Linked DNA regions of Coturnix japonica. Each later gene encodes a partner of the first gene's protein in a complex. Links are inferred from orthologs where the notes say so. Each region holds a gene or a part of one and is shown on either strand. Other genes may lie near its edges.

What was found.
Region 2: SNIP1 (region 1) and SNRPG share a complex: the UniProt entries of both Homo sapiens proteins name them as parts of the minor spliceosome. The link is inferred for Coturnix japonica from reciprocal best matches to the Homo sapiens genes SNIP1 and SNRPG.

The regions. Positions count from the first base shown.
Region 1 is NC_029538.1:3,337,699-3,343,318, reverse strand, and holds the start of SNIP1 (smad nuclear-interacting protein 1), read right to left. Parts: upstream 3,502-5,620; 5' UTR 3,478-3,501; coding exon 3,326-3,477; intron 3,244-3,325; coding exon 3,147-3,243; intron 2,291-3,146; coding exon 1,707-2,290; intron 1,046-1,706; coding exon 781-1,045; 3' UTR 1-780. Other genes in the region: DNALI1 (axonemal dynein light intermediate polypeptide 1), read left to right, coding at 3,632-3,712, 4,713-4,849, 4,932-5,101, 5,617-5,620. UniProt on the Homo sapiens protein: Required for pre-mRNA splicing as component of the spliceosome. As a component of the minor spliceosome, involved in the splicing of U12-type introns in pre-mRNAs. Down-regulates NF-kappa-B signaling by competing with RELA for CREBBP/EP300 binding.
Region 2 is NC_029537.1:791,386-795,972, reverse strand, and holds SNRPG (small nuclear ribonucleoprotein G), read right to left. Parts: upstream 3,151-4,587; 5' UTR 3,064-3,150; coding exon 3,032-3,063; intron 2,835-3,031; coding exon 2,812-2,834; intron 2,683-2,811; coding exon 2,558-2,682; intron 2,073-2,557; coding exon 2,022-2,072; 3' UTR 1,900-2,021; downstream 1-1,899. Other genes in the region: protein FAM136A, read right to left, coding at 4,054-4,242. UniProt on the Homo sapiens protein: Plays a role in pre-mRNA splicing as a core component of the spliceosomal U1, U2, U4 and U5 small nuclear ribonucleoproteins (snRNPs), the building blocks of the spliceosome.

The DNA.
Region 1 (5,620 bases):
ACAAAAAACATTAAGTTACTCATGGAGCTGATAGAAACAAAGGGCTGAGGTTTAGGAGATACATGACAGTCAGCCATAGTTTGGGTGCTGCAATGTATAGCGTGCATTGATGTGGACCTCAGCCCTCCCAAACCACATCGTTGCAACCTAAAAGCCTCAGGTTGTGTTTCCTTTTCTTCTCACTTACCTTGGAATCGACAGGCAGCTCATTGTGGTCAAATGCCCATTGCTCACAGTGCAGAGCAACCACCCAGGACACATAAAACCTTTGCAATATCCCTCTTTTAGTAGCAAACCTGGTCATTCTCCCTTCTAGAACTCTAGAATTTGGCAAACTCTACAAAACAAGACATTACAAACAATGCATGGGGTTACATTTGAAACTAACACCTCAGTTCAGTAGCGTTTTCAAAGGCTTATGACAAAAAACAGTGGATAAAAATATTCTTAAATACACTTTGCTGTGTTCTACATCGTTTCTTTATCCAGCAGAAAACCATCTTTGAACATGTTTCCAGCATCAGATCATTCACATCCAGCTGCTCTTTTGCTTGTCAGGGGGGTGAAATAAGTCAGATTTCCCACTATACAGACCTACCAAAGCCAAATATTCAGTGGAGTCCCCCACAATAAACCATAAGAACCAGTCAGCAACAGAAGGACTTTAAGGCAATAAGAAGCACCAGTGCTTTGATGCTCCAACATCTCCATCCCAATGCATGTTTTATTGTAAAAGATTCCTCTCCCCTGCTCCCCCATCCCCAATTGCCTTCATGTCTGTTAACTATCGGACTCTTCCTCCTTCTCCTCTTCCTCATCATCGTCCTTTGCGTTGGCCTCTGATTTATCAGATGATTCATGGAGAAGGACGTACTCCCTGCTGCTGAAGCCAAACTTCAATACATCCTTTTCTTTCAGTTCGTAGTAACGTTGAGGCTCAATCCTCTGGTTGTTTAGAAAAGTACCATTGCCAGAACCAAGATCAATGATATACGGCTTTACCCTGCGGCCAACTGTGCCATCAGCGCGTGTGTGCTCCACAAGCCTAGAAAACAAAAACAACCCATCAAGTCAATGATAACACATGGATTTTTCAACACATCAGCCCCACTGTTGTAAATACTTAACCATACTTCAAAGATCTGAGCAAGTACAATGAGAATAATTAGACAGGGCACGGAAATACTCAAGATTCTGACAGACTGCTTCACCCCTTAAAGTTATGATCATATAACATAGTAAATCCTGAAGCAGAACAGATGGTTGTTCCTTAAGAGAGCAGCTCTGCCTCCTGAAGCACACAACCCTGCTGTTTATAAAGGAGATCGGCAGCCTTTGTTGGGAAGGAACAAATGAAAAACCCTCCTTTAAACGTTCTTTATTGCCAATCCCACCTGCTAATAACTCCAATTCAGATATACAGGCAGTTCTGTATTTCATCCTGTTGTGTTGTGTTTCTTACTAAAAGTCTAGATATGGTTAAACCAAAAGGAATTATATATATGTTAAGAGTCACGAGGCTGCTTATGGTTAAACAAAAAGGAATTACATATATGTTACATCCATACCTAAATTCCACCTATCTAAAACCATTGAGCAAACATGCATTTTCTAATCTGTGCACATCCAATACGTTCTTTGATTCCCTTTGCACGCAAGCGACCAAATAATCCCCACCTACCAGAGGGATACAGAGCGATACTGACCGGTATTGGAACACAGCGTGTTGCTTTGAGCAGGAGGGATGATCAATGGGGATATCTGCTATCCTGCGGTGCCTGCCCAGGAGATAAGCACTCTGCCTATGAATGTACATGACAGGCAGGAACTCATCGTTTTTAAATGGATAGAGACGCCATCGTTTCTTTGGAATCCGAGCTTCTGGGGGCTCACTGTATTTAATCACAACGCCTCGGAAAGTGTTGGTATCCTCCAGAAGGGCACCAGACAGTTCAAAGCTTGGTTTTTCTTTGTTTACAGCTTTATCTTTTGGTTTGTTATCAGATTGTTTGTGTTCTGGATTCTGCTCAGCACCGCTCCCCTCGTTGTTCTGTCGATGCTCTCGTCTTCTTTCGTTATAGAACTCCCTCTCTGCTTGTTGCTCACGGATGTTCTGAACATCTCTTTCTCTCTCATGGCCTCGACCTCCAGGTCTTTCCTCCTTTTTCCTCCTGTCTGAGTGATCTCTGTGCCTGTCTCTGTCACCGCTTCTATCTCGTCTGTGTTCTTGCTCTGACGTGTGTCTCTGCTTTCTCTCTTCATTTCCTCTGTGAGGATGATCGTCTCGTTCCTGAGGAAGAAGACAGAAAACACATGAAAAACACAGACTGTAACATGGTACGTGTATATCTAGATTTATTTATTTCCTTCCAAAGTGAATTCCCACAACTTGGGCCCAACAATGCAAGGCTGACAGAGAGCAATGCATCATAACATCAGCCTTCAGGGTCAGCCTGCAGGCTGGGCTCACTTAAAGGCACAAATACTCATTTTCTTACAGGAATAACAGGGGCTGGGCTCACTAAAAGGTACAAACACTCAGTTCTTTCCAGGAAAACACGAAGCAGAGAGCAAGGAGATGTTACACTGTAAGACTCTCTCTTCCTTAAGAGTTATTCTAGAGGGATCAGGGGGCTGGAGCACCTCCCCTATGAGGACAGGCTGAGGGAGTTGGGTTTGTTCAGCCTAGAGAAGAGAAGGTTGCGGGGTGACCTCATTGCAGCCTTTCAATACCTGAAGGGAACTTACTCCCAGGAGGGGAGTAAACTCTTGGAAAGGGCTGACAATAGCAGGACACGGGGAAATGGTTTTAAGTTAAAAGAGGGAAGATTTGGGTTGGATGTTAGGGGGAAGTTCTTCACTAGGAGAGTGGTTAGGCCCTGAAACAGGCTGCACAGGGAGGTTGTGGATGCCCCGTCCTTGGAGGTGTTCAAGGCCAGGTTGGACGGGGCCATGGGCAACATGATCTATGGGGTGTCTTTGGGGATCTATGGGTTGTCTGTGGGGCTCTATGGGGTCTGCATGGGGTCTGTATGGGGTTCAGTGGGTCTCTATGGGGCTCTATGGGGTGTCTATGGGATCTCTGTGGGGATCTGTGGGGTCTCTATGGGGATCTGTGGGGCCTGGCCTCTCCCAACGCCATTTACCTGCTTTACCCTCACACCTCCATGGTGCGGACTCCTGCTCCTCCTCCCCCGCGGTGATTTGCTCCTCCGGCCGGATTTACTCTTCCTTTTAGGCGACCTTTAAATCAAGTACACAAGAAATGCACAGAACCTCAGGGTTACGATACAGGGCCGTAATAAGGCCCTATGAGGCCTCCTACCTGCTGCTCCTGCCCCGTCGCTCCTCAATGGGGGGGGATTGGCTCCCATAAGCCGAACGGGACCCGCAGCTCCGTGGGCTGCGCTTCTCGGCCTTCACCGCCATCTCCCCCCTCCTTCTCTCCCTCCTCCTCCTCTCACTCTCAGCCTCCATCTTGCTACCGACTCCCCCCACAACCGGAATTACGTTTTCACATCCGTGTTACCTCTCTCTCAACCACCCGGAACTACATCTTTACCTAACGCTCATGCGCCTTTAGAACAAACAACGGAGCGGCGTTTATAACCATAGCGACCGAGGAGCCGCCATGATCCCACCGCCCGATTCGCTGCTGCGTTATAACCCGCCCATGCTGGTGAGTCGCCGTACTGAGAAGCGATCACCAGAGGTGAGTGAATATGAACCGATATTATGGCCCATGAAGGCCAAAGGAATCCTATATTGTATCAAAACCAGTGTTACTAGCAGCAACAGGGAGGTAATTGTCCCCCTGTGTTCAGTTTTGGGCACCTCACTGCAAGAAAGACATTGAGAATACATTCAGAAAAGGGTTATGAAGCTGGTGAGGGGTCTGGAGCATAATGGGGACTTATAAGAAGAAGCTGAGGGAGATGGGGTTGTTCAGCCTGAAGAAGAGGCTCAGGGGAGACCTTATAGCCCTCTATAACTCCCTTAGTTAGAAGTTAGAAGGGAGGTTGTAGTGAGCCTCTAATCCATGATAGAAGTAGAGGGAATGGTTTTAAGCTGTGTCAGGGGAGAGTCACGCTGGATATTAGGAAGTATTGCTTCTCAGGAAGGGTAGTCAGGCATTATAATGCACTGCCCAAAGAGGTGGTGGAGTCACTGACCATGGGAGTGTTCAAGAAACATCTGGATGTTGTGTTGATGAATATGATTTAGCTGGGAAGTATTGGGAATGGTTGGACTAGATGATCTTCTAGGTCACAGAATGACCCGGGTTGGAAGGGACCTCAAGGATCATGTAGTTCCAACCCCCCTGCCAAGCAGGGCCACCAAACATACACATTTACTAGATCAGGTTGCCCAGGAGACCCCATAGAGACCCCATAGATCCCCCATAGATCCCCATAGATCCCCATAGAGACCCCATAGATCCTCATAGAGACCCCATAGACCCCCATAGAGACCCCATAGATCCCCATAGAGACCCCATAGATCAGGTTGCCCATGGCCCCGTCCAACCTGGCCTTGTACACCTCCAAGGACGGGGCATCCACAACCTCCCTGGGCAGCCTGTTCCAGGGCCTCACCACTCTCCTAGTGAAGTCTTTTCCAACCTTGATAATTCTGTGTTTCTGTGATTCTGAATGGGACGGGGGGAGCCCTCACACCTCACCCATCCTGCTCACACCGCTTTCTCCCTTCAGGCCTCACCGTTGAAGGGAACCCCACAGGCCTCCCCGCCATCAGGCCCTGTCCCTCCGTCCCGACCTCGCACTGCTGCCGCCTCCGCCGCCTCCACGAAGGAACCTCAGGAGATCCTGAACGCCATCCTACCGCCGCGGTGAGCCGGGGAGGGGGGAACAACAAGAGCCTTAACTCAGGACCGCCCCGCCGAGCTCCATCGCTGCTGCTTTCCGGTGCAGGTCATGGGAGGAGGATAACCGGCTGTGGGTGCAGGAGGTGTCCAGTGTTCCCAGCACCCGGCTGGACGTCGTGCAGCTGCAGGAGCAGCTGGATCTGAAGCTGCAACAGCGGCAGGCGAGGGAGACCGGCATCTGTCCTGTGAGAAGGGAGCTGTACTCGCAGTGCTTCGGTCAGTGGCACACTTAAATAACAGCCTGGAAAGGGTATTTTATGTGTACATAAAAGATACAAGTGCTTAATGTTGTATTGGTTGTACATAACTCCAATCATGACCTTAAAAACACTGCAAAAAGCCCTTAGCCATTCCTAATACTATATGAGATAGTAATAATACCATACCTAATATCATACTAATGACACGGTGCTGGTGTTCCACCTGCAAGAGTGTTATTGGTTTAAGCTGAAAGCTGCATAAAAAAACCATGACAGGTTTGAAGGGTTCTGCTGTTACGTGTTGTTTTCACTGATTCTTGTACCATCCCCCTACTTTATCCCTGTGCTTTTATTAGGTAGCACTTGATGCTACAGCTGTAATGCAATAAGCAAAACTATGACCATGTCCAGCTGAAATCAATGCTGCTTTTGTGGTGCAGAGAACAGGTAAAAGATAGACAACCAGCCCTGGATCTTGTGCACATCCAGCATTCCCAACTCAGTGTAACTCTTTGTGCCCCTTCTTTAAAGATGA
Region 2 (4,587 bases), on another chromosome or scaffold:
ACCCAGTTAACCTCTACCACGTCACCTACGACACGCCATCAGGACAGACAGGGGACATCTATGACATTGTTGTCATTGCTGCTCCGCTGAACCGCAAAATAGCCAACATCACCTTCAAGAACTTCAGCCCTCCAGTCCCGGAGTTCTCCAATCCTTACCAACAAACTGTGGCAACGTTTGTGCACGGCCGCTTAAACGCCTCCTACTTTGGTTACCAGGATCCATCCGCCTTTCATCTGGGTGCCATTTTCACTACAGAGAATCCCAAGCTGTTTATCAACAGCGTGGGGATCGTGTCTCCTGTGGAGAACAGAGGCAGCCAAGAAAAGCTTCCCTTGCAGTTAGCAGTCTGGAAGATCTTCTCAAAGGAAGAGCTCACAAAAGAGCAGCTGAATTTGCTTTTCTCCTCCTACGACTCTGTCAAGGTGAAGAAGTGGCTGGCGTACCCCCACTACAGCCCCCCGAACAAATTCCCACCTATCATCCTCCATGACAACATCTACTACCTGAATGGCATCGAGTGGGCTGCCAGTGCTATGGAGATGAGCTCCATCGCAGCCAAAAACGCCGCGCTGCTCGCCTACCACCGCTGGTACGGCAACACAGACAAGATCGACCAGGAAGACTTGTATGAGAAACTGAAAACAGAGCTTTGAGCTGTGCACCACCGCGGCTCCCAGAGATAAAGCCCGTGTGTTGAAGATGTGTAGTTGCAACTAAAAGGAACGAAGGAGCTGCTTGGATGCTGTGATTTTATTCTAACTCACTTCTCACTTAGCCTCGAAGAAGGAGGAAGCATCCAGCCAGCTCCAGGCATGAATTCACTTGAACTGCTGTCAAAAGTGGGGGGGCATTTCCTCATGTGAGCCGGCCCTCCCTCAAGCAAAGCCTTCAATCTGTCCCTCTGTAAGATAACCAAGGTACTTTAAATGCCATATTGACCCTTAAGTGTCCTTCAGATCCTACCAAGCCCAGGATCTGCATCACTGTGATTAACTGAGCACTGATCCCTTAGACCTGCGCATGTTGCTTTCCCTTTCTGGACATCTCTCTGTTGAATAAGTCAGCTTGTTAGCATTAAATCTCTCTGCTTCTGCTTTTTGAAGGGGTGTATCAAGGATTGTACCCCATCCCCTTGGGGTGGGACTGGTGAAGGGAAATGGCGATCATCTACTTGCTGCTGAACCTCACTCATGTCTTAACTACGTAGTAAATACCATGTTGCCATTACAAATAAAAGCAACACACTGGTTTGAATGTAAGCAGGTGCTGCCTTGAACTGTTGTCTGTGTTACCTGCATTGTGCTGTGTCTCAGAGCTGCTGCTCGGTTCTCCATCAGCAGAGTTCTCCTGTACCAGCAAGTTGTGCTTGCTTAGCTCAAACTCCCACTAACAAGCCTCCACTAGTGTAGCCTCACTCTTGCTGTGCTAGAAAAGATGAATGCACTTGATTAAAGCTAAATTGCAGGACTTGCACTGAGATTAGCAGCATCACAGGAGTCCGTACGTGCTGGAACACGATTCAACTCTTAGAAGCTTGCTGGTACCCTGGGGTCAATGCTTTGTTCTGTCTGCTTGGGGGCAATGAGAATAACCAAAACCACTTTTGCCTCAGCACAGAGGTGGAGACCAGCACAAAGTTGCAGGCAAACACTTGAGCAGGACAGATATTTCAGTCCCCTTCACTCTTTACAGAGCAATGCTAGGAATAGAAGTGCCACAGCCTGTTATTTATGGGGGGGGGTTTAAAGATATAGCCAGTATCATTTGAACACCCACTCAAAGAAATAAAGCTGCCTGAAAGCCATCCTCCAGCTTTAAAGCTGCCACTGACACACTGCTGCACTCACAAGATTAACTGCCCCAGGCTTCAGTTCCACCAAGCACAGCTCACACGGGTTACACCAACCAGTACAAAATTTATTTAACAAAAAATAAGCTTACACTTGTGGTTGCTTCATTAGGTTCAGGTGAGTAAACAAAACACAACGGGGTCGGGTCACTACAGGGTTCCTCTGCCACTATACTCGTTCCAAAGCTTCCAGCATAATGATGCTGTTTCCTCGTATTACCTACAAAGAGAAGTTGTCAGCAGGAGGTGAGATGAAGCACGTTATGCCCACAGCACAGAAGGTTTTCTTTCCCTTTGACTTTTCCTCCTAGAAAGCTGCATGGCATGTGCAGCTCCAAGAGCTGAAGTGAATGAGAGAACTGCAGGGGCTCATGGCAGCAGTCAGCCGGCTGGAAAAGGCTCCTGCAGGAGGGTGGTTGATAGAAAAGGTGGATGAGAGCTTGATATAAGACAGCAATGTATTCTTGTGACCTCACAGCCAGCTGGGCTGCCACCCCTCTGTTACTGCAGCAGACACGGAGGGCTCTGTCCCATCCTGCTCTGCCCTCCTGAGGCTGTTCCCCATTCCTAGAGGTGCCCAAGGCCACGGATGGGCACTGGGAGGCCTGAACTGAAAGGAAGCCCCCAGCCCAAAGCCCAAAGCCCAAAGCCCCCAGCCCAAGGCACAAAGTGGGCCTGGGGGCTGCCATCCCCCCCAGCACTCACCACCATCCCGATGTTGTTCTGCTGCCCTCCAGGCGCCATCTCCACGCACTCATCGATCACCAGGTTCATGAAGGGGTCGAAGCCCCGTAGGATCCCCTGCACGTGGCGGCCGCCATTTAACTTCACTACGAGAAACCGGCTCATTCAGAAACAAGGGGAGGGGGGGGTTAAAAGGGAAGGGAGGGATGGGGGGGGGGGGGGGGCTTTGTGAATGTGGGCTCATGGCACAACCCCGTTATAACAGCGGGACTCACACGACAGCTTCTTGTCCATGAACCTGCAACGAGAGCGCAAACAGAGCAGGCCGCATCAGTGTGGGGTCGGGACCGCCATCATTGCGGGCCCAACCGGACCCAGACCGAACCCGAACCGGACCCCACGGCCCCTCCCGACCCTCTGGGCCCCCCTCATCCCCTTCAGTCCTCCCTTATCCCCCCTCATCCCCCCTCATCCCCATGTTGGCCCAGCTCTCACTTCTTCAGCTCGGGTGGGTGCGCTTTGCTCATGGCGTCTCCTCAGCGCCGCTGCCGCTCGCGCCGCGTAATGACGTCATCACGTCGCACGCTACGCCCAAAGCCCCGCCCCCTTTTCCCGCCAACCTTCGCATCTCGCCGGCAGCCAATCAGAGCGCTCGGACGCGGCGCGCGTGCGCGTTTGGAGCGGCCCCCATGCAGCACGTGCATGGAGACCTGCAGCTCTGCTGCATTGCATGCACCGCGCATTGCACACCCACTGTATGCACGGCATTGCACACACACAAAGGCACTGATACACGTATTGCAAGCCCTGCACGGCTCACCGTGCACACCTTGCACAGCCATCGGCTCACAGCTGGCAGTGTGCACCCTTTGCACACTGCACCCTTTGCACACCCTGCACCCTTTGCACACCCTGCACCATTTGCACACCCTGCACCATTTGCACACTGCACCCTTTGCACACTGCACCTTTGCACACTGCACCTTTGCACACCCTGCACCCTTTGCACACCCTGCACCCTTTGCACACCCTGCACCATTTGCACACCTGCACCCTTTGCACACCTGCACCCTTTGCACACTGCACCTTTGCACACCTGCACCCTTTGCACACCTGCACCCTTTGCACACCCTGCAACATTTGCACACTGCACCCTTTGCACACTGCACCCTTTGCACACTGCACCCTTTACACACCAGCACCCTTTGCACACAGTGCCCCACACCCTGCAGAAGCACTACCCCACACCTTGCACACCTGCACACACCTTACGCAGCCATCACCCCACACTTTGCACACCTGTACCCTATCTATACACTGCACATTTGCATGGCTCATCCCACCCCCTATACACTGCACAGCCATCACCCCATACTTTGCACACACCCACCCCATACATTACACAGCCACCACCCCACACCTTGCACCCCCACACCCCAAACCCCCAGCACCCCTCGAGCACCACGAGTGCAGCTCCTTGCCTTTAATACCACCTTCCCCCACCCCAACAGCACCCGCTAGTGCTGTAGGGCCGCCAAGCCATCCCGCATCCTCTTGGCCATGCCTGGCACCAGGCGTAGGTGCTCGTCCCCACAGGCAGCAACGCAGGCGTCGAGCTGGGAGCGTGCCCTTGTCTCCCCACCGCCCGCCTCCAGGGCATCCTTGGCTCTGTCAGAGCAGTGCAGCGTGCAGCGGCTCAGGCGGTCCTGCAAGGGGATAAAGGGGCATAGATCAGGAGAGTGATAGAACCACAGGGGTTGGAAGGGACCTCTGGGGCTCCCCCATGGTGATAAGCATTGACTGGATCCCCTCTCAGCCTCTGCAGGTGAACAGCCCTCGGGGCTCTCAGCCTTCTCCCATCAGGGGATGCTCCTCCAGGCCTCCACCATCTCTATGTCCCTACATCAGCTCCCTGCCTGGAGCTGAGCAGCCACAGCTGGACCCAGTGCTGCAGATGCGGCCTCAGGGCAGAGCAGGAGCACCTCCCTCACCCTACTGGCCACGCTCTTTTTAAAGGACCCCAGGGTCCAACTGGTCTTCATGGCCACCAG